Linked DNA regions of Drosophila melanogaster. The protein of the gene in region 3 interacts with the protein of the main gene of each other region in a pairwise test. Each region holds a gene or a part of one and is shown on either strand. Other genes may lie near its edges. The genes, in order: CG9467, Hr3, CG13482 and btd.

Region 1 (5,671 bases), on a different chromosome or scaffold from region 3:
TTTGCCCAGGAAGCAGGCCAGGTGCATGGCGGAGCGACCATCGCAGTTGGTGTCGCACAGATTGGCGCCGTACTGCTTAAGATCGCCCAACTTGTGGACATCACCTTCGGTGACCGCGGCCGCCACCAAAGCGGGATAGAATGTGGAGCACATCTGCTGCCGTTCCATCGCCGTCGACATGTGCAATGTGCGGGCCACGCCCTCGATCAGATCAATGTCGTTAATCTTGGCAACCTTATTGGTGGTCAGCTCTCCGCGCAAACTTAGTAGCATCACCTTCTTCTTGTTGGGAATGTCCCACTCCGGCTTGGACAGCACATAGGCCAGTTTGGTAAAGGCTGCCTCCTGAGTCATATCGTAGCCGGGTATTACGCCCACTTCCATCAGACCCTGGCTTGTCTCGTAAATGTTGGCCACCATGCCCGCCGAGCACTGCGTAATGTTGACAATAATAACGCCTCTGTGAACCGCCTCCCTCAGTTCGTCCAGCAAGTCCTCACGATTAACCGGAAAATTGCCGGCCCCAAAGGTCTGGAGGACAACACCTTTCGTTGGCTCTTTCAGGATTGCCTGCACCACACTGGCACTTATTCCCGGGTAAATACGCAGCAGCGCCACGTTCTTTTCGAGTTCCGAATGAAGTGAAAATGGTTTAATATTGCACGGTCGGAAGATTTGGCGGCTGTTGATCTCAATGTTGACACTCGCCCGACCCAATGGTGCAAAATTTGGTGAGTCCAGTGCGTGAAAAGAGTCAGAATTGAGCTTCGTGGAGCGACAGCCACGTAGAATCTTGTTGCCGAAGAAGACCAGCACTTCGGGTATACTGTAATTTCCTGCTATGAGAAGTGCGCCCAAGAAGTTCTCCCGCCCATCGCTGCGGGCTTCAAAGATCGGAATCTGTGCCCCAGTGAATACCACGGGCTTGTTCAGGCTCTCAAGCATGAACGCTAGTGCCGAGGCGGAGTAGGCTAGGGTATCCGTTCCATGGAGGATCACAAAGCCGTCGTAGGACTTGTATGTCTTCTGCGAAAAAAGTTAGTTGCATATTTTGTATTAACCTGATGATCCTCGACTCTCAACTTACTCCCACTTCGTTGGCAATGCGCTTCCAGTCGCAGAAGCCCATGCAGCTGGAGTCCATCAGTGGGCAGAACTCAATCAAATCGTAAAGGACTCTATACGGAGCTCCAGACACTGCGGGTAGCACCATCATGGGACCATCATTATCCTTGCTGGTGTAATTCCTGTCGTGGCAGCTGGGAAACTCTTGAAGCTGCCGAGCCAGCACCTTGGGCGCGGTGTGCAGTACTGATGAGAAACAATTGATTAGTACACGGACAAGAGCCATTGATATACCCACCTCCGGACTCGTTGCGGATCATTCCGATGGTTCCACCCACGTAGATGACATGGACGCGAGCCTCCTTCTTCAAACAACCGCACTTCGCCGCCGGCATTTTGGGCTTTTTCGAAATTTTGAGTGGTGTCCGAAACTAAACTAAAGCGTAGTTCCAAAGGCTCAGAGTGTGACAGCAAGATCCATGAGCTTTTTGTTTTGATGCTTAATACAAGTCATAACTTTACAATATTTTCAAATTTACCACCAAGCGAAATAAACCGTTGCTTGACGAAAAGGTGGTATGACCGTATTGCATGGGAATTTAACCGAGAGTTAGAGATGTACACTGCTTCACAAGAAATATCGTTGCTTATAATTGTGGAAATGCATATACTTTCTGATGCCCAAATTAATTTTATTTCTATATTAATTATTTTTTAATGATGAATTGTTGTTTGGAAACCATCAAAAACCTTGGTGAGTTAACACATACAAAATCAAAAGTGGAAAGTTCAGCAAAACAACTAAATGCAACAGGGACCCCCCGTAAACAGTGACTCGTCATGGCTGGGAACAGTCACGACCAATTTGCCCATCCCTAGTTTCTACAGTGCAGTGCAACAAATAATAAATAAATAAATAGCCTGGCACAAAGAGTTAATCGAATAAATTGCACCCCGCAGCGCACGTCAAGTGGGTTGGGTACCGAAATCGCGAGTTATCTGCTCCGCTGACGCCGCTGCCACTGCTCCGCCATATCAGTTGCTGATTGGAGCGCTGGGAGCACGGAAGCCACACAAATAGAGGCGCATTTAGAGCAATCCCCACCGTCCGCTGCTGCGGCAGCCCGCGGGTCATCGGATTGCCATGTCCCACTTCACGCATGCCTCCAGCAGCGACCTGGTCAACCTCAATGTGGGTGGTCAGCGGTAAGAACAAAGAACCAACACATTACGGCCCACTAACGGCATTGATGACGCATGCAAACTCCATCTCACTATCCATAGCTTTTCCACGTCGCGGCAAACGCTTACGTGGATCCCGGACACCTTCTTCACGGCTCTTCTCAGCGGACGCATCTCGAGTCTCAGAGACGAGCACAATGCCATCTTTATTGATCGCGATCCGACGCTCTTCTCGATCATACTTAACTACTTAAGGACCAAGGACATCGACATCAAGAACTGCGAAATACGCGCTCTGCGCCATGAGGCCGAGTACTATGGCATCACGCCGCTGACCAAGCGCCTGGCCCTCTGCGAAGACCTTAACCACTCGTCCTGCGGTGATTTGCTGTTCTACGGATTTCTGGCGGCGCCGCCCATGCCGTCAAACGAAGCTGTGGCTGCTACTAGCGTTGACGAGTCATTGCCCTCCACTTCGGCCAGTGCGATTGGCAGTCGTCCTGGGTCCATGGTGCGCGTTCCCGAACCCTCACGCTCCTCACACTCGCGCAATTCATCATGGGATCTGCGCCTTGGTCGCACAGGTAGCACTGGCAATGGTGCCAATCCCCCAGCTCCCATGTTGCACTCACGTAATCCCTCGATTGACTTTATGCGCCACTCTCGGAACTCCTCGGCCGATCTGAACAAAGTCTTTCGAAACGAAGTTGGCCTGGTATTCAGTCCCACGCAGAACTCAAACTGGGTGGACCCGTTGCGAGTGCAAATCATTAAGGCGCACCAAAATTGGATAGCAGTGGCTTACGCACACTTTGTGACTTGCTACCGGGTGAAAGACTCCAACGGATGGCAGCAGGTGTTCACATCGCCCCACATCGACGCCACTATCGAAAGAATCGCCATCAACTCAAAGGTGAATACTTCCGCAGCAGAGCCACTGCCCAGCAAGATGGTGGCCATTTCTTACGGCAGTCAGATAAGATTGTGGAGCATTCAGGAGGGCGGCCAGAAAACGGATGTGGGCACGTTTAATTTAAATGTGCGAGTGGAGTACCTGTTCTTTATCGGCAGTCAGCTGGTGGCCCTGTCATCTTCCGGCAAGATCGGCGTCTGGCATGCGATGACGCAGCACTGGCAGATTCAGGACCTAGTGCCCGTGCTCTCATTCGATTCCGCAGGCTCTTTTTTGCTGCTGGGCTGCAACAACGGCTCCATTTACTACATAGACATGCAGAAGTTCCCGCTCCGGATAAAGGACAATGATTTACTGGTTACCGAGCTCTACAAAGATGTCACACTAGACCCTATCACGGCCATCTCGGTCTACCTTACCCCAAAAACCTCGAGCATAAGTGGCAATTGGATTGAAATTGCCTATGGCACAAAGTCGGGAGCGGTTCGAATCATTGTCCAGCATCCGGAGACAGCTGGCCATGGACCACACCTGTTCGAGACCTTCTTTGTGCACCAAAGCCCCGTAACGAAGGTGATGCTGTCGGAGAAATACCTCGTCTCCGTGTGCAGCGAATACCACCACGTGCGAACATGGCGTCTGACCCGCTTCCGGGGCATGCTCTCCACCCAGCCGGGATCCACGCCGGAAGCATCGTTCAAAATCGTGTCGCTGGAAGCTACCGATACGAGCTACAGCTATGCGGCTGGAAATGATTTTGGACCTTACGGTGACTACGACGACATGATATTTGTGCAAAAGGTGGTGCCCGAGACGGATCAGCTGTACGTACGCTTGGCCTCCAACGGTGATCGGGTGTGCGTCATTAGATCCGTAGATAGCTCCACAATTTCGGCCTTCTGTGTGCTCGAGTGCGAGGTATCGTCCCGGTTCATACTCACCGGTCACTGCAACGGCGCTATTCAAATGTGGGACCTAACCACTGCACTGGCGCTGCTCTCCAAGGATGAGCCGCAGCAGAAAATCAATGGCGGACCCGACACCAATGAGCTTCTCCGCCTACTTGACCAGTGTGAAATCAGCAATTCATCATGCACAACACCTTGTATGTCACCGTGTCTATCAGCTATGGGCAACGGCTCTGGAATGGCCTCCTCCATAGCCCGCATGAAAGCCAGCAACATAGCCCTGCTAAATCGGGAACCAGCAATGGCAATGGCCGTCCAAGCCGTCCAGCCGCCCGCTCAGGTCCAACCTGCTCTTCCAGAGGCTGTGGCGCCGGCAGCTGCTATCCCGATGGCTGACGACAACAACGAATGAGACGTGGAAGCGGCTGCTTGATTGGCGCTTGTCGGGCGCGTTTCATCGTTTACATTTCACAGGTATAGCTTAATCTTCGACTACCAGTTTATATTCCTGCAGTTCGTGGTGTGCGCCCTCATCTACGTCTGGGTGACGCGACTCACCCGCGGTCCAGCCACTGGGCCGTGATGAACTGCCAGCAGGCATTTACCCAATCAATTAATCTCCATTATATGTGCTCGATGTGTTTGCAAATGCAATGTGTATCCCGTAAACCCATTTTTTGTGCTCCTCCAAACTTGGATCGTACAGTTAGTAATTTAAAAAAAAAACGTCTGTCTTTGTTCTAGTTAAAGTTATGAAAATTAGTTAAAACCATGTAAACCAGAGTATAAGACTTCTGCAACCGATCATCTATAATTAGCACAACTCTCCTAAAGGGTGCTCCATCAGGACAGATACGAAATCGTTCGGCTTGGATAAGATTGGTTGCCTTAAGCAAAGAAAGTTCATTAAACAGCCAATCAGTTGATTGTCAACCTTGAAGATGATTACTTGTGATTAAAATCGATAGAGCGACTGCTTCAAATTCGAATCTGTCCTGTTGCATGCAATGCCACACATGAATATAATGATACGCCTTGTTGCAACCAGTAAACAGCTATACATATTCAATATAAATAAAGATAATTATACACAAAGAGATATCAAAATAGCGAGCGAGTTGTGTCATCAATAATTTATTGAACATTTTATCTTAGTTTCTTGATGGTTGAAGTGTTCCATTAACATTTATCAAATACAAATACTTGGCTTGCATTCTCGTGGGTGTTGTGTGTGTAAATACGTGTATATACGATATCCTACGCCTATACCGGACCTCAGTAAAGTAAAAAAGCAGCAAAAACGCCAAAACATATAAAAATATATATAATATACATTTGTGTATTGTAGGTAAGTTACCCCAACCCAACCCCGACCGCCATTTAAATATCATTGGCCTAAACACAACCCACTAACGACCGCCGGTGTGCTTAATAAACAATTTAAACAAGTGGCTCGTCAAGTGGGACCCCTGCCTTTAATTTACCTAAAATAGGACGCACTGGTACTGAGATAGAATAATAATAATGGAGTAGATACTTGGAGCGATTACCCACCCTCGCCCGGAAGCAATTGTCGAGCCGTTCATACAAATAGTTTGTACAC
Region 2 (4,818 bases), on a different chromosome or scaffold from region 3:
AGTAATGGCCCGGCCAACTGTTGCCTCATCGACAGTGGGGCTGCAATAAACCAGTTGGAAGTCGCAGCTAATCTTGCAACACAGTTGCGCAACAAAGAATCCGAGGCAACGGTACTAACGTGTTTGCTGTTTCTGCTGCTATTGTGGCTATACGCTGGCTTCTTTTTGATTCTGTTCTGTTCTTTGCTTTTCTCCGTCTCCATTTTCTTGGCAATCAGCTCTCTGAGCCAGTTGCGTGTAACAGGTTTTTCCTCTTGAATAACTGGGACTTTCTTACGGGACTTTTTCGGAGAGTTTCTGCAGAGAAAACAGGTTAGAATCGGCACAGACTTGCAATAGATGATGAGGCAACAGCCGCCGCAAGAAGTTTACAACGGTGAGGCACACATTTCGCGTTCACGTTAGAACCAACGGTGTTTTAGCCAAGTTTAGCTGCAAGCTGCTAGTAAGCTGGTTGGCAGAACCACCAACCAGTTACCAGTTACCAGTTAGCTCTTGATTGTTGTTGCGCAAGCGGCAGCTGAATGCGGCGCAGAATAAATCTAACATGATTTAAGCAACGGAAAAACATGAAATATTAATGCCGATGCTTGAGTCTTGGCTCCGAATCAGAATCCGAATCCGTCCTAACGGTGGTCGCTCCGTTCGCCATCATCGACCCTCCTCTATAAGAAGTTTGGCCCTATGCCACCCAATTCCCCCACTCCCCTCCCCGCCCTAATGATGGCTCGATCCGATCGGTTGGGCTGGGGCCCAGTTGGGCGATTAGTTCAAATTTGCCCCGTCTGTTGGCCAATGGCCGAGATGTTCTCGGTTCGCCCCTTTTTTTGGGCATTCTTGACTCGAGGGTCATTGTGGTCATAGCTGTTCTTTGATTGGTTTTTGCCCAAATTGGCATTGGCAGCTTTAATTAGCGAGCTTAACATTTTAGTGCATTCTTGTAGTTTTGAGAGCACTAAAAATGCGCATTTTATGACTCATTTAAAAATATATATGTGCCAATGTTCATACTATTTATGACACTTTAAAGCTTTTTATATACATACTATATAATTATAAATACATGTATATTATCTTTACACAGCTTGTAGTAGACAAGACTTCGTATATATAATGACTTACTACTGCATCTATAGTTTATCCGTGTTCTACAAATTTGGTTTATAAACGAGGGGTTAACCATGAATTACATATCTTATGCACTATTTAAATGCATAACAAAAGAAAATATTTGTTTACCAAATATGTTTCTTTTTAAACATGTATATATAAAAATATATATCATAGTTGATTTTTTATTAACTAATTTTATGAATTTTTACAAATATTATAAATGGCAGTTTCAGTTGTTAGTTGAGTAAATGTCGAAAGTCAAGCCCAGAAGACTCATTCAAAATTTTCCGCCCTTGGAATTTCCACCTCGAGCGTGCAGAAATTTCCCATGACGCTTTATCACCACGACGGGAATTTTCCTGGCCCTTAGCCCGCCCCCGCCCCCACTGAGAGTTTTAGGGGTGGAAAAGCTGCGCAACAAACGTTCGTTCGACTGTGCTCGTTTTCCTTCGTGTTGTGGCTTCCAGTTTTTCCTGGCTATGCACTTGGCATTATGCCTACTAACCCTATTTTCGCAGCAGTTCGCAGCGAGTCCCATTTTTCAACTTGCATGCGGATACACACGCACACACACACTCGGATTTTCCTTTTCCCAGAAACTGAGGCGCAACCCCCACGAAACGGAAAGTTTGTGCAGCGGCAGAACGAACTGTGTTTGTGGCACTCGAATTTGGGACACATTCCTGTAAAGGACGCAGCTCCGGTCAGCTGCTTCGCAAAATCGACAAAAAGGAGTCACAAAAAAACGCGCGCGGTGCATTTAGCCACAAATCTCTGAAAGTGAAAATACAAATATTGAAACAGTGAAATCCACAAACCAGCCAAAAGTGAAACAAAATTGAACACAGTGCTTAATTAATATCGAAGCTAAAGGGATAGAAATCCGATTAGGAAAAGGGAAAGCTGCAGCGCTGCTCCTGTTTGCCAAATATTGATTCGCAAGTGTGCCGCTGAAAAATCGATTATTAAAGCCACTTTCCACACAGCTGGTGGTTGTTGTTGCCGTGAGGATGGAGGTGGTGCTTGGGGTGGTGGTTGCATAGGGTTGCGTGCCGCGATGTGGGAAATCAACAGCAACATTGGCACATCCACATCCAGATCCAGAGGCACACTTCCAACTGTTTTGACGTGGTCGGGTTCCAATGGCGCTGACACTACCGAATGCTGCAGCGCAGCCTTGCAGCCATCCAGCGGCGACGCGTTGCATGTGCAGCAGCAACAGCAACAGCAGCAGCAACATCAGCAGCAGCAGCAGCAGCAACAGCAACAGCAGCAACAACAGCAGCAGCAGCAGGATACGAAAACGAGGATGACAACGACCACAGGCAAACGCGGAGGACACAGATACAGAAGCAGGCTCAGTCACCGAAGCACAGCAACAATTGCTGCATATTAGGCAGTAAAGTAAAGTTAAACACAACCCAAAACCGAAAAGACTAGCCCAAAATTTACTCAAAAACCAACACAAGTGGAAAGCATTAATCGGAATGTCGAACTCTATGCATCGCACAAAGTTACGTTAAGTATACGACGCGTATTTCCAGCTGCAAAACGAACCAAAAACGAACCGAACGAAACGAAACGCACAGGTGCATCTGCAGACCCCACTACGCCCCTAAAAGCCCACTCCCCCCCCTTTTCGAACCCTCAGCCCCTCATTAGGCCACCCCCTCTGGGGTATCTACACCAATTGACAAGCAATCGAGGCAATGCAGTATGAATGAACTTGTTTAGTCGACAATTTTTTAAGTGCACTTTCGTAAGGCTGATTTTCAATTTATTTCGATGTTGTGCTTCTACACCCAAAAAAAAAACCAAATATAACAAGTAACAAATACAAGCATAAAAGAACCCAAGAAATTCAAGCAATGAACCAAGTGAAAGTGTGAGTGTTTAGTGTTTTAAGCGAAGGCGAAATCCGGACATTTGAGAGCCTTTGTGAGTAAACGGCCGCCACAACGGATAGGCCCAGAGATCTCCTGCTGATACAGCAGGCCAAGCCCGCCGGCGGCAGCAAATCCTCCAGCGGTGGTCCAACGTATATCGGCACCGATGCCGCCACAGCAGCGGCGGTGGCCAATCTGCGCAGCAAGGTGCCCTCCATCTCAATAATCCCGCTGCCCGTCTCGACCACCATTGTGGCACGCAGTGGTAGCGGTGCCTCTGGCACTGGCGGCAGTGGAGGAGCACCGCCAGCACTGCCCCAGCTGATCCAGTCGTCGCGGAGTGTGTCCACCAAATCCACGGGCACGTCTCCACCATTGGCCTTTATAACGGAAGGTTCTGGAACATCGGGTGCTCCCGCCCTGACACTGCTGCCACGACCCCAGCAGCAGCACCAGTACCAGCAGACCGACAAGTGCACGGTCCTCAAACTGGACGTACTGAAGCAGCAGTCGGGTGTGGCAGCCAACTCCAGCAGTAATACCTACCTGCAGATCGAGCAGCAGCTCAGCGAACTGGAGGCCGCCGACGAGGAGGAGGAGAACATGGCCAGTTTGCTGGGCAGTGCGCCACCCGCCCAAATCCTGGCCAACCAGCCCATCATCGTCAAGATCGAGCCCACGCAATCCTTCCACATCGTGGACGAGGGCGACACGAGAGTACTGAGCTTGCCCCTCAGCGATGCTGATAAGCTGGGCGCCAGTTGGATAGATCTCAAGGATATTGCCGGCCTACAGGCCGGTGGCGGAGCCACCTTGCTGGACGTCTGCTTCGAGCAGGCCAACGAGGACGGCACCATCATAGCCACCGTGCAGCCGGACTTGGAAAACGAGCTCGAGGCTGAGCTAAAGGCGGAGGGCGAGCCCGAGGATGAGACTGAACCAGAGCCTCCGGCGCCCAAGAGATTGGCGACCACCAGGCCAGCACAGTCGCGGCCACAACAGCAGCAGCAACAGCAGCAGCAGCAGGTGAAATTCCTATCGGATCCACCGGCATTGGCACGCTCCAGCAGCTTCAGCAGTCTCAGCAGCTTTAGCAGCATCAGCAATATCAGTTCCGTGTGCAAGAACATGGCCAGCAATACCAGCCAGGAGGGCTCCCTAAAACGCACAAAGGAGCGAACTCCTCCACCAATGCCACCGCTCACGACTCACAAGCCCGCTGCCACAACAACAGCAACATCAGCAACATCTGCAGCCGCAGCAACATCAGCAGCAACAGCAAGTGCAACAGCAACATCGGCCAGAGAAAACAGCAGAGAGCACAGCAGCAGCAGCAGCGGCAGTAATGGAGCCATGACAGGTATGTTCCAGTGCAACTCTCAATTATATTTTAGTCAATTTGGGAATATATATACTGTTCGAGACGATAATATATCTACCAATAATATATCTTCATATGCAAAAGCAATGTTCTTCGTCACTCTTGCTCTTAACAAACGTTAAAGAATTTTACTAAGCCATTGTGAGTGATTGTAGCAAATATTTGAAAGACCTTAAGTCAAGGATTCCCGCGAGTGATGAGTTCGCACCCCAGAAAACTCGGCAAGAATTCCACTTGTTGCGAACAACCGCCGGCTAACCACAGCACAGTGAGCACTCGCCCAGAGCGACCACCAACGATCAGCGATGGTTCAGATAATCGCACCCATATCCCCCAGATCCCCTCCCCCTTCCCCCTTCCCCATTCCACGCCAGAATCCGAGCTATGCAAATGAACGCTCGCCCATTGCGCAAGCATCCCAGGCAGCGGCAATTAACA
Region 3 (2,957 bases):
GGTGGCCTAACGCTTCCCCATGGGGAACCTTCCAAACGTGCCAGACTGAAAGTGGAATTTTCATTGGATGTGTAAACAAAACCAGCGGGGGAAAATGAGCCAGATGATCAAGTCTGAAAAGCTTTCGGTACGGTAGCACTAAAGTGAGTTTTTAAGGGGATATTCTCTGCTTTATGGCCGTGCTAATGTATTTTTTTTTTACAGAATAAAATTAGATTTTATGAATTTGTATGAAGGACATGTTATTTTATTATGATTTGCTTATGATTTATTGCAAATCTCTGAGACTTCCTGAGGTTTCTTGTAAATTACTATTTATTATGAGTTTATAATAAGTTGCCAATAAATTCAATTTATTGTTCCAATTTCATTAATAAACTTCGAAGTTTTTTTCTAAAACTTTCTCAAATATCCTTTTCTTCTTATTTTCCTCCAAGGTTGCCTTATCTACCACCAAAAGATTTCTTTACAAAGCTAATAAAATGTATTACCAAACTTTTGCAGAAGTTCTTTGAAAAGCAACTCCATAAAATCAAATTTATGTATTACCTGCATTGCCCCCTTCTATTTGCTTTCCCCCTACTTTCCAGCTTCTTTTTTACTCATTTCCTATATCGTTTTAGCTCCCTGAACTGCAGGAGGACAAAACCTCTGGTCGCACTTTAAATAAGCATTAAATTGATACAGCATAAAGTTGTTTCCTTCTCTTAGCCCGCTCTGTCTACCCCACTCTTTTGCTCCCAAGACGCACTCCAGACACACTCTAATCGCTTTATAACTTCTAACGCAGTTTATCAGAGTCGTCCGCAGCCCGTGGCCCCTCATCCCTTAATTCCAACACCCCCAAAAGTCATCCTTCCCATGCCATTAAGGCGGCTCAAAGGCAAAAGTTATTGTCACGCACTGAAGTCGCCTTCATGTGGAGTTGTGTGGTGCACTGAGAAAATCATTGGTTTTTAATAACTCGGCTCAAAATTATATTACATCAGTACGCAGGCTCTAGTCTTACAGTAAATATCAAATATTCTATTAATAAGATCAGTTAAAAAAGCTACTTTATTTTAGCAACATTATGAAAAGTTAACATTAGTTTACAGGGAATCCCTAAAATCATGTACCTATTTTGAGAGATATCCTCTTCATGGTAAATAACTCATACTCAATACACTGATAAGATTGTCAAGCTAAAGACGAAAATATTATGCAAGTGTTGATAAGAAGAAATTATATCAAGAGATTGTTTCTTTCTGTGCAATTTTTTTTATTGAAATGGTCGAAAGGGGGTATATAAACACCTCCACCCATGCCAATCTTCATGCAAAAGCTTTCTGGTTATTGCCTTCCTGCTCGCACTTTCTCTGTGCTTGTGTTGGGTGTCTTTAGTGCCTTTTTGGTTTTCCTCGCTTTTCTTCTTTCGTACTGTATTTTCTTATTTTTTGTTTAGGACTACGTCTGGCAAACAAGGCGGAAATTATTGTTGGCGGGGTCTTAAAGTTTTATTTTACCTTTTACATATCTATTTGTCAGCATCCTTTTTTTTGCAATATCAAATTGATGTTTTGTCTGCGAAATACTTTTTGTTTTTTCTTACATCTGCTATTACTATTACTGTCATTACATTCGTTAAGAATGAAAAGAATAAAAGCGCTTAAATGTTATGAATTAGTCCGGTGAGTAATTCCCGATCCATGATTGCACAAAAACATTGCTATCTTTATAGCCCACTTTGAGTATTAGCAATAGAATCGAAGTGAATCCCCAGTGAGTCAGTCGAATACACACCCCCTTCGATAAGATAAAGCAGCACAACAATAATACTATCTGAATTGTCAAGCTGTTCAAGTGGGATGTGTATATAAACTGGTCATATCAGCGGATGGAAAGGCAGTTAGCATTCAACAAGCAACGAGAGCAGTTTTCGAAAGGAATATATCAGTTTGATAAGGATTAAAAAAAGTAAAACATTCAAAATGTCGCCGCCACATCACGAAAATCGCCTGTTTGGAATCCACCTTGGCCTGAATTTGGGTGGAGGTGGACATCATCACCACCACCATCATCCACCGCCTCCGGTGCACCACTATCACCCACCGCCTCCGGTGCACCACCATCACCACCACGGACCTCCAATGCACCACCACGGACCCCCGCCGCACCACCACCACCACTACGGACCTCCGCCACCGCCGCCCCACTACGATCATCATCATCATCACCACGGCAGCCACTTTGACCATCATCATGGTCCTCACCATGGACATCATCATCATCACTGCTAGTACAATGGAATGGAAGGAAGGTCTTAAAAACCACAGCCATCAGGTGGCGAAATAATGAAAGTGTTTATAAGCGAATTTAATTTATTACATAAAGTGTACAAAAAACAAAACCAAAAAAATCATTAAAACCACTTAGACTTATACAAAGACATTTTTGAATGCTAGTTTCCTTGGGGAAAGTAAAAATAAATAAATTAAGAAGTACGATGATAATTCATGTAGAATTTTTTATATATGTATGTACTCGTAATGGATTTCTGCATTCCAAAAATACGTGTACTGCGCACTTAGTTAACAAATGTCCATACGATAAAGTATAAAATAACAACTAATCTTATCTTGATTGACATGACGCAAAGATTTCACCAAAACGTAATTGAACGATTCTCTATACATATAAAGCTGATTTTAAAGCCAAAGGAATCAAGAATAATTTTAAAACTTAATAATTCAAGAAATTCTAATCCAATAAGAAGATTATTGGCAACCACAAACACAAAACAAGACCACCCACGAAAACAAGTTTGTAAGCCGATAAATACAAATGAAATTAAATATAATTTTAGTACGGCTTAGATTCGCTTCGGGTGGGTCAAACAAAATGTTTGCCAATTACAAACCCATTTCGAAACGCTTTTATTTTTCTGCGGTTGTCACAAAACGCTAATTAGACAGCAG
Region 4 (5,857 bases), on a different chromosome or scaffold from region 3:
GCTGGTACCCTGTAAAGCCCAACTTGGGCATACTCGATTTTGATGTATTCTAAAATATTTAATAGTTAATATTCCAATTGTTTGTATTGTAACAAACTACTTGTTCACTTACGAATAATACTGACAAATCAGGAACAACAACTTTTTCTTTTATTTAAGCCCATAACAAATTGTATGTTTATTTGAACAATATTAAAAAAAGTCTTAACAATTTTTGACACATAGTAAAATATATCTGAAACTCAGAAATACTTGGAGTGCAATAGTATTGAGTCATATCAGTTGGTTAAACATTAAATCTCATATTATCCCAAGAAATCCCCTACATAATGATATTCATCTTAACAATGGGTAGCTTAAGAGTCGAGATGCACTTCCGTGAGCTTGTTCCGTTTTGGGAGTCATCATTATCTTTTCACAGCAGCAGCAAGTCGTAAAATTTGTGGCTCAGACCCACGTTGCGTATGCGTAATAAAAAAGACGCCGCGTAATAAAAAGGGAGCGAAAACAACAACAGCAACAGCAATTGTGATTAATATGCGGCACACAAGCATACACAAACGCACGCACACACGAAACGGGCGCAGGCCATGCGAGAGAGAGAGAGCGAAGGAGAGAGCTGCTGTCTCTTTTGTGGTGGTGTTTGGTCAACGCCCCTTTAAATACAGTTATTTCATTGGGCCGCGACCACAAATTTATTAGTTTTTATTGTTATTGTATTGATATTTGAATTATGCACGCTCCCTCTTCGTCTTCTAACGTTACTTTTTATCATTGGGATCCTCTGGAGAAAAATGCCATTAAACAGAAATTTTAATTTAATTAAAGTGATGAGCCATACTTCTTTCTCTCTGTCTGCTTACTTTCATCGAAACAAATTGATGGTCTGAGTGGGCAAGGGGATAATGAGAATTTAAGCAGATATTCGTGCTTTTAATGACGGTACTTGAAATGTGTAAAATGTCGAGTAATTTATGGGCATTAAAAATCGGTCGGATATATGTAACAATACCTATATTTTGTGTGTACTTAAGGTTTATATGAGAAATTTAAATGTTTAAAATTGAAAATAAAAACTAAATTTGTAGTTAGAAACTATCTCTAAGTTAGCAGACTTAAAAAAAATTAATACAATTTTTCTAAAATATTTGCTAAGCTCTTTATTTTGAATTGCAAAGGATACGTGAATACGTTATTTATTTTATACACATTTTGAGGGGTTGATAGGGTTAAAATAAACATAAATTATGGAATATATAGATTAACCAACTAAATAATAAAATATTTCAAATACTTCACTAATCAAATATTTCAAATACTTCACTAAAAATGCTAATAATGTAAATTATTTACACATATTCTTAAATACAAACTTTGCATTAAATTTAAGCCAACATTTTTGGCTTAAAGTTTAGATATAACCAACAATAACAACAAATATAAGCATTTTGAGCACTAGCTGAAACGACAACAACAACAGCAACAACAAAACGCATGCTCACCCAATTGCTTTGACACACAAACCCACACATAGAAATTAAAACAAAACGCCCGCGGCAGCAGCGCCAGCAATAACAACACTGCAACAGCAACGTGGAGAGAGAGCACCATACCGCAAGAGCGAAAGAGAGAGAGAGAGTGAGCTAGCTACGGAGAGTGGCTGCTGCTGCCGGGAGTGACACTTCCGCGCCACACGTGCAAGCGAGACGAAGCGAGTTGCCCCGAAGGCACACCGTTGCGGCCAAAAACAACCACCATGATGGTGCCGAGAGCGAGAGAGAGCGAGAGCTGGCTCAGCGCTCAGTGGCGATAGACGAGTGCGAGAATGTGACAGCACGAGCAGCAGCAGCGCTGCCGCTGCCCTCTGCCCGCGCCTCTGCCCGCAGCCAAGTGGATTCGTTTTGTACGTTGTTAGACTCTCTCGCCGCGTTTTGGAATTCAGTCGACAATCGACGATAATTACCGGTGGTTGTATCACATCACATCACGCGCAGCAGCAGCAGCACTACGAACGAAAGAAGAAGAAGCAGAAGAGCCAGCCGCAGTGGCAGCAGAGAAACTCGCTCGTTTTCGGATCTATATATATATATATGCATATAGATTTGTATATATAGAGGGATATATATATATATATATTTGCACGCAGCATTGGCGAATTTTCGGCCGCCTTTAATTTGTTTGTGTTTTTTCCGTGTTCTCCTCCGCGTGCTCGCAATTACGTGCGCGGCAGCAAAAGACTATAATTATAAAACTAAAGTGAAAAGCGTGCCATAATTACACGAGCGAATATCAATAAGTGCAAGAGCAATGTGCGAAAATTGTTAACGAACGCAGTAGCAACCAGAAGCAGTAAAACGCAGCAGCAATCGCAGCAGTAGGATCCAAACAAATCTCAGCGCAACATTAAAATCGCAAGCGTTTTCAACATGATCGATGCGGCCTGCAATTACTTAAATCCCTATGCGCAACAGCATCAGGCGCAGCAGCAGCAACATGCGCAACATCAGCAACACGCGCAACAACAGCAACATCATCTGCACATGCAGCAGGCGCAACATCATCTGCACTTGTCGCATCAGCAGGCGCAACAGCAGCATATGCAACACTTGACACAGCAACAGCAGCAGCAGCAACAACAACAGCAGCAACAGCAGCAGCAACAGCAGCAACAACAACAGCCGCAACAGCAGCAACATGACTTCCTCAGCGCCGCCGCCCTGCTGTCCGCCCCACCATCCCTATCCGGCTCGAGTTCCGGCTCCAGCTCCGGCAGTTCTCCGCTATATGGAAAGCCGCCAATGAAGCTGGAACTGCCGTATCCACAGGCCTCATCCACGGGCACCGCATCGCCCAACTCCAGCATACAATCGGCGCCATCATCGGCCTCCGTGTCGCCCAGCATCTTCCCATCACCTGCCCAGTCATTCGCCTCCATTTCGGCTAGTCCATCCACGCCCACCACGACCTTGGCGCCACCAACAACGGCGGCAGCGGGCGCCCTAGCGGGATCACCCACATCCTCCTCACCATCCTCGTCAGCAGCATCGGCTGCAGCGGCGGCAGCAGCAGCTGCGGCGGCAGCAGCGGACCTTGGAGCAGCGGCGGTCGCCAGTGCCGCCTACGGCTGGAATACCGCCTACTCCGGATTGGGGCCAGCGAGGTAAATATCCCTATATATAGGATTTACAGAAGTTGAGTTGGGAATCATTCGTAAGAAAGAAACTTTAAAATGCTAGTGATCAATAAATCAAAGCTTATAGATCATCAAATTTGTGGTTATTAGGGATACACTAATTTCGATCTGAATTAGATCTCCTTTTAATAGAATAACTACAGGCTGATTGTATTTCGATCATGAGCGAGATAAAGACATATATCTTTTGCAAATTATACAGTTTAATACATAGGAATATATTAATCAAATTATCCCGAAGATTGAAATGGATTAGCATACAAATAATCTCATAAACTTATAAAATGATAGGTACCACTTGAATACATTACAATTTAGTATTCCGATAGCAGGTGTACCCATTAAGTAAATGATTAAAAAAAACCAAATTAACCATTCTCTGTCTTCATTTCTTTTCTCCATCTAGAAGTCAGTTTCCATATGCCCAGTACGCCTCCGATTATTACGGCAATGCGGTGGGCATGTCCTCCTCGGCCGCTTGGTTCTCGCATCAGGAGCGCCTCTATCAGCCATGGAGTTCACAGAGCTATCCGGGCTTCAATTTCGACGACATCGCCTTCCAGACGCAATTGCAACGCCGCTCCGTTCGCTGCACGTGTCCCAATTGCACCAACGAGATGAGCGGCCTGCCACCGATTGTGGGTCCGGATGAGCGCGGACGCAAGCAGCATATCTGCCACATTCCGGGCTGCGAACGGCTATACGGTAAGGCGTCGCATCTGAAGACCCACCTGCGCTGGCACACCGGCGAGCGGCCCTTCCTGTGCCTCACGTGCGGCAAGCGTTTCTCCCGATCGGATGAGCTGCAGCGGCACGGACGTACGCACACCAATTACCGCCCGTATGCCTGCCCCATTTGCTCCAAGAAGTTTTCGCGCAGCGATCACCTCAGCAAGCACAAGAAGACCCATTTCAAGGACAAGAAGAGCAAGAAGGTATTGGCCGCCGAGGCCAAGGAGCAGGCGGCTGCGGCGATAAAGCTGGAAAAGAAGGAGAAGAAGTCGGGTAAGCCACTGACGCCACCCGTGGAATTCAAGCAGGAGCAGCCGGATACGACACCGCTGGTCAACTATGCGCCCTATGCCAATCTCTATCAGCATTCCACATCCGCCGGATCGAGTGTGAATCCTCCGCCGCCACCGCCGCCGCTCTTCCAGCAGCAGATGACGACGACAACATCATCGGCGGCGGCCAGCTTTGTGGAGCAGCCGTGGAGCAGTAGCAGCAGCCGTGCCATACAACCAGCCACTACCTCAGCCAGTTCATCCTCATCCTCCAGCGCCAGTTCCCCAGCGGCAGCGGTCGTTTCTGCCATTGGATCTGCATCTTCCCCAGCCGCATCAGCCACGGCGCTGGCCCAGCATCATTATGCCGCACTTGCCATGCAAAGTGAGTCCCAGCTGGCGGCGGAATATGGGCTAACCATGAGCGGATTGGCCAGCGGAGCTAGCCAGGATTCCAGCTCCAGTTGCCACATGAAGTCCGAGTATGCGGCCAGTTATCCGGCTGATTTTGGTGCGGGAACAGCCAGTTACGGTTATCCGCATCCACATCCGCACCATCACAATGCGTGGGCAGCGGCCTATCATCCACATGCCACCGCCTAGGATGTCCCCGATCCTTCCCAAAATTGTTACAGTTGAAAGTTGATGAAACAAATGCCATAATGTCCCAAAACCCAGAACGGCAACAAAGCAAGCGTAGAACGAAAATCTAGTGTGTGTTTTTTTTTCAGTGTTTATTGTTGATATAAAAATATAATGTGAAAATCAAAAAAAAATTTGAATTCACAAAATACCGTATAAGGCATTATATAATATTATATAAATATATATATATATATATACATACACATATATTAACTATACATGTAGAGACTAGAACTTGAATTTTTTTCATTTTTTTTCCCCCAATCTAGTAGCTAAGGCATTTTTTTTTGCATGTCTGTACATACAAACATATATAGCGTTCTTTTTAAGCCATACCATATAGAATGAGAGAAACCATCTAGTTGTGTACCATAATAATTGTTAATTGTCTTTAAGATAAATTATATACAACAACAAAAAGTGAAAAATCCAAGGCGACAAAATCCCCACACTGAAATGAAATCCTAACAATAAAAAAAAAAAACGAACAAAATAATATCGGAAAACAAAGCGAATCCAGTTTTTTATTATTCTCTCCGATCCCGACGCACCCTTGTTAATGGGTTCCTGGCTTGGTTAGATTTCAGGGTTGTTTGATCTCCGCCAGGGGTTGCTTTCTTGCATATAAATCGAGGGATCCAGGAAGCTTCCCGACTTCCGGCGAACTTGATCTGCTTTTGGGTGCTGACCTTTGGCGGTATTTGGATAATAATAGAAACTTTTTCAATAGCAATCATTATAGCTGTCTGCATTTCTAGTTATAATTTCATCAACGTCGGCCATCGCTTTAAAATTGCAAAAACATTGTTAGCTTGGGAGATGTACATCATTTATAGATTGCTTTACTTTAAAATGTGCATAAATAAAGGTACGAATGTGATATGTATATATCCTTAAATACAATGATTTATTTAGTCAAGATACACATAGTTGTAGAATTTCATAACAATCGGATGTGATTTAATAGTAGTTTTTCTCACTAAAAGCGGCTTACCACTTTTAGATCTCTTCAAGA

Evidence for each region.
Region 1: the proteins of CG13482 (region 3) and CG9467 interact in a two-hybrid assay, tested with the Drosophila melanogaster proteins (one large-scale study listed by BioGRID).
Region 2: the proteins of CG13482 (region 3) and Hr3 interact in a two-hybrid assay, tested with the Drosophila melanogaster proteins (one large-scale study listed by BioGRID).
Region 4: the proteins of CG13482 (region 3) and btd interact in a two-hybrid assay, tested with the Drosophila melanogaster proteins (one large-scale study listed by BioGRID).

The regions. Positions count from the first base shown.
Region 1 is NT_033777.3:9,797,269-9,802,939, reverse strand, and holds CG9467 (uncharacterized protein), read left to right. Parts: upstream 1-1,913; 5' UTR 1,914-2,209; coding exon 2,210-2,271; intron 2,272-2,349; coding exon 2,350-4,480; coding exon of another isoform or gene 4,481-4,651; 3' UTR 4,652-5,171; downstream 5,172-5,671. Other genes in the region: CG8526 (uncharacterized protein), read right to left, coding at 1-1,026, 1,088-1,311, 1,364-1,460.
Region 2 is NT_033778.4:10,231,565-10,236,382, reverse strand, and holds the start of Hr3 (hormone receptor 3), read left to right. Parts: upstream 1-1,775; 5' UTR 1,776-2,170; coding exon of another isoform or gene 2,171-2,509; 5' UTR 2,510-3,071; coding exon of another isoform or gene 3,072-3,602; coding exon 3,603-4,359; intron 4,360-4,818. Other genes in the region: CG12912 (uncharacterized protein), read left to right, coding at 2,171-2,509. UniProt on the Drosophila melanogaster protein: Putative receptor whose ligand is not yet known.
Region 3 is NT_037436.4:14,327,467-14,330,423, forward strand, and holds CG13482 (uncharacterized protein), read left to right. Parts: upstream 1-1,879; 5' UTR 1,880-1,970; coding exon 1,971-2,279; 3' UTR 2,280-2,419; downstream 2,420-2,957.
Region 4 is NC_004354.4:9,692,248-9,698,104, forward strand, and holds btd (buttonhead), read left to right. Parts: upstream 1-1,938; 5' UTR 1,939-2,426; coding exon 2,427-3,160; intron 3,161-3,599; coding exon 3,600-4,800; 3' UTR 4,801-5,311; downstream 5,312-5,857. UniProt on the Drosophila melanogaster protein: Required for the development of the antennal, intercalary and mandibular segments of the head.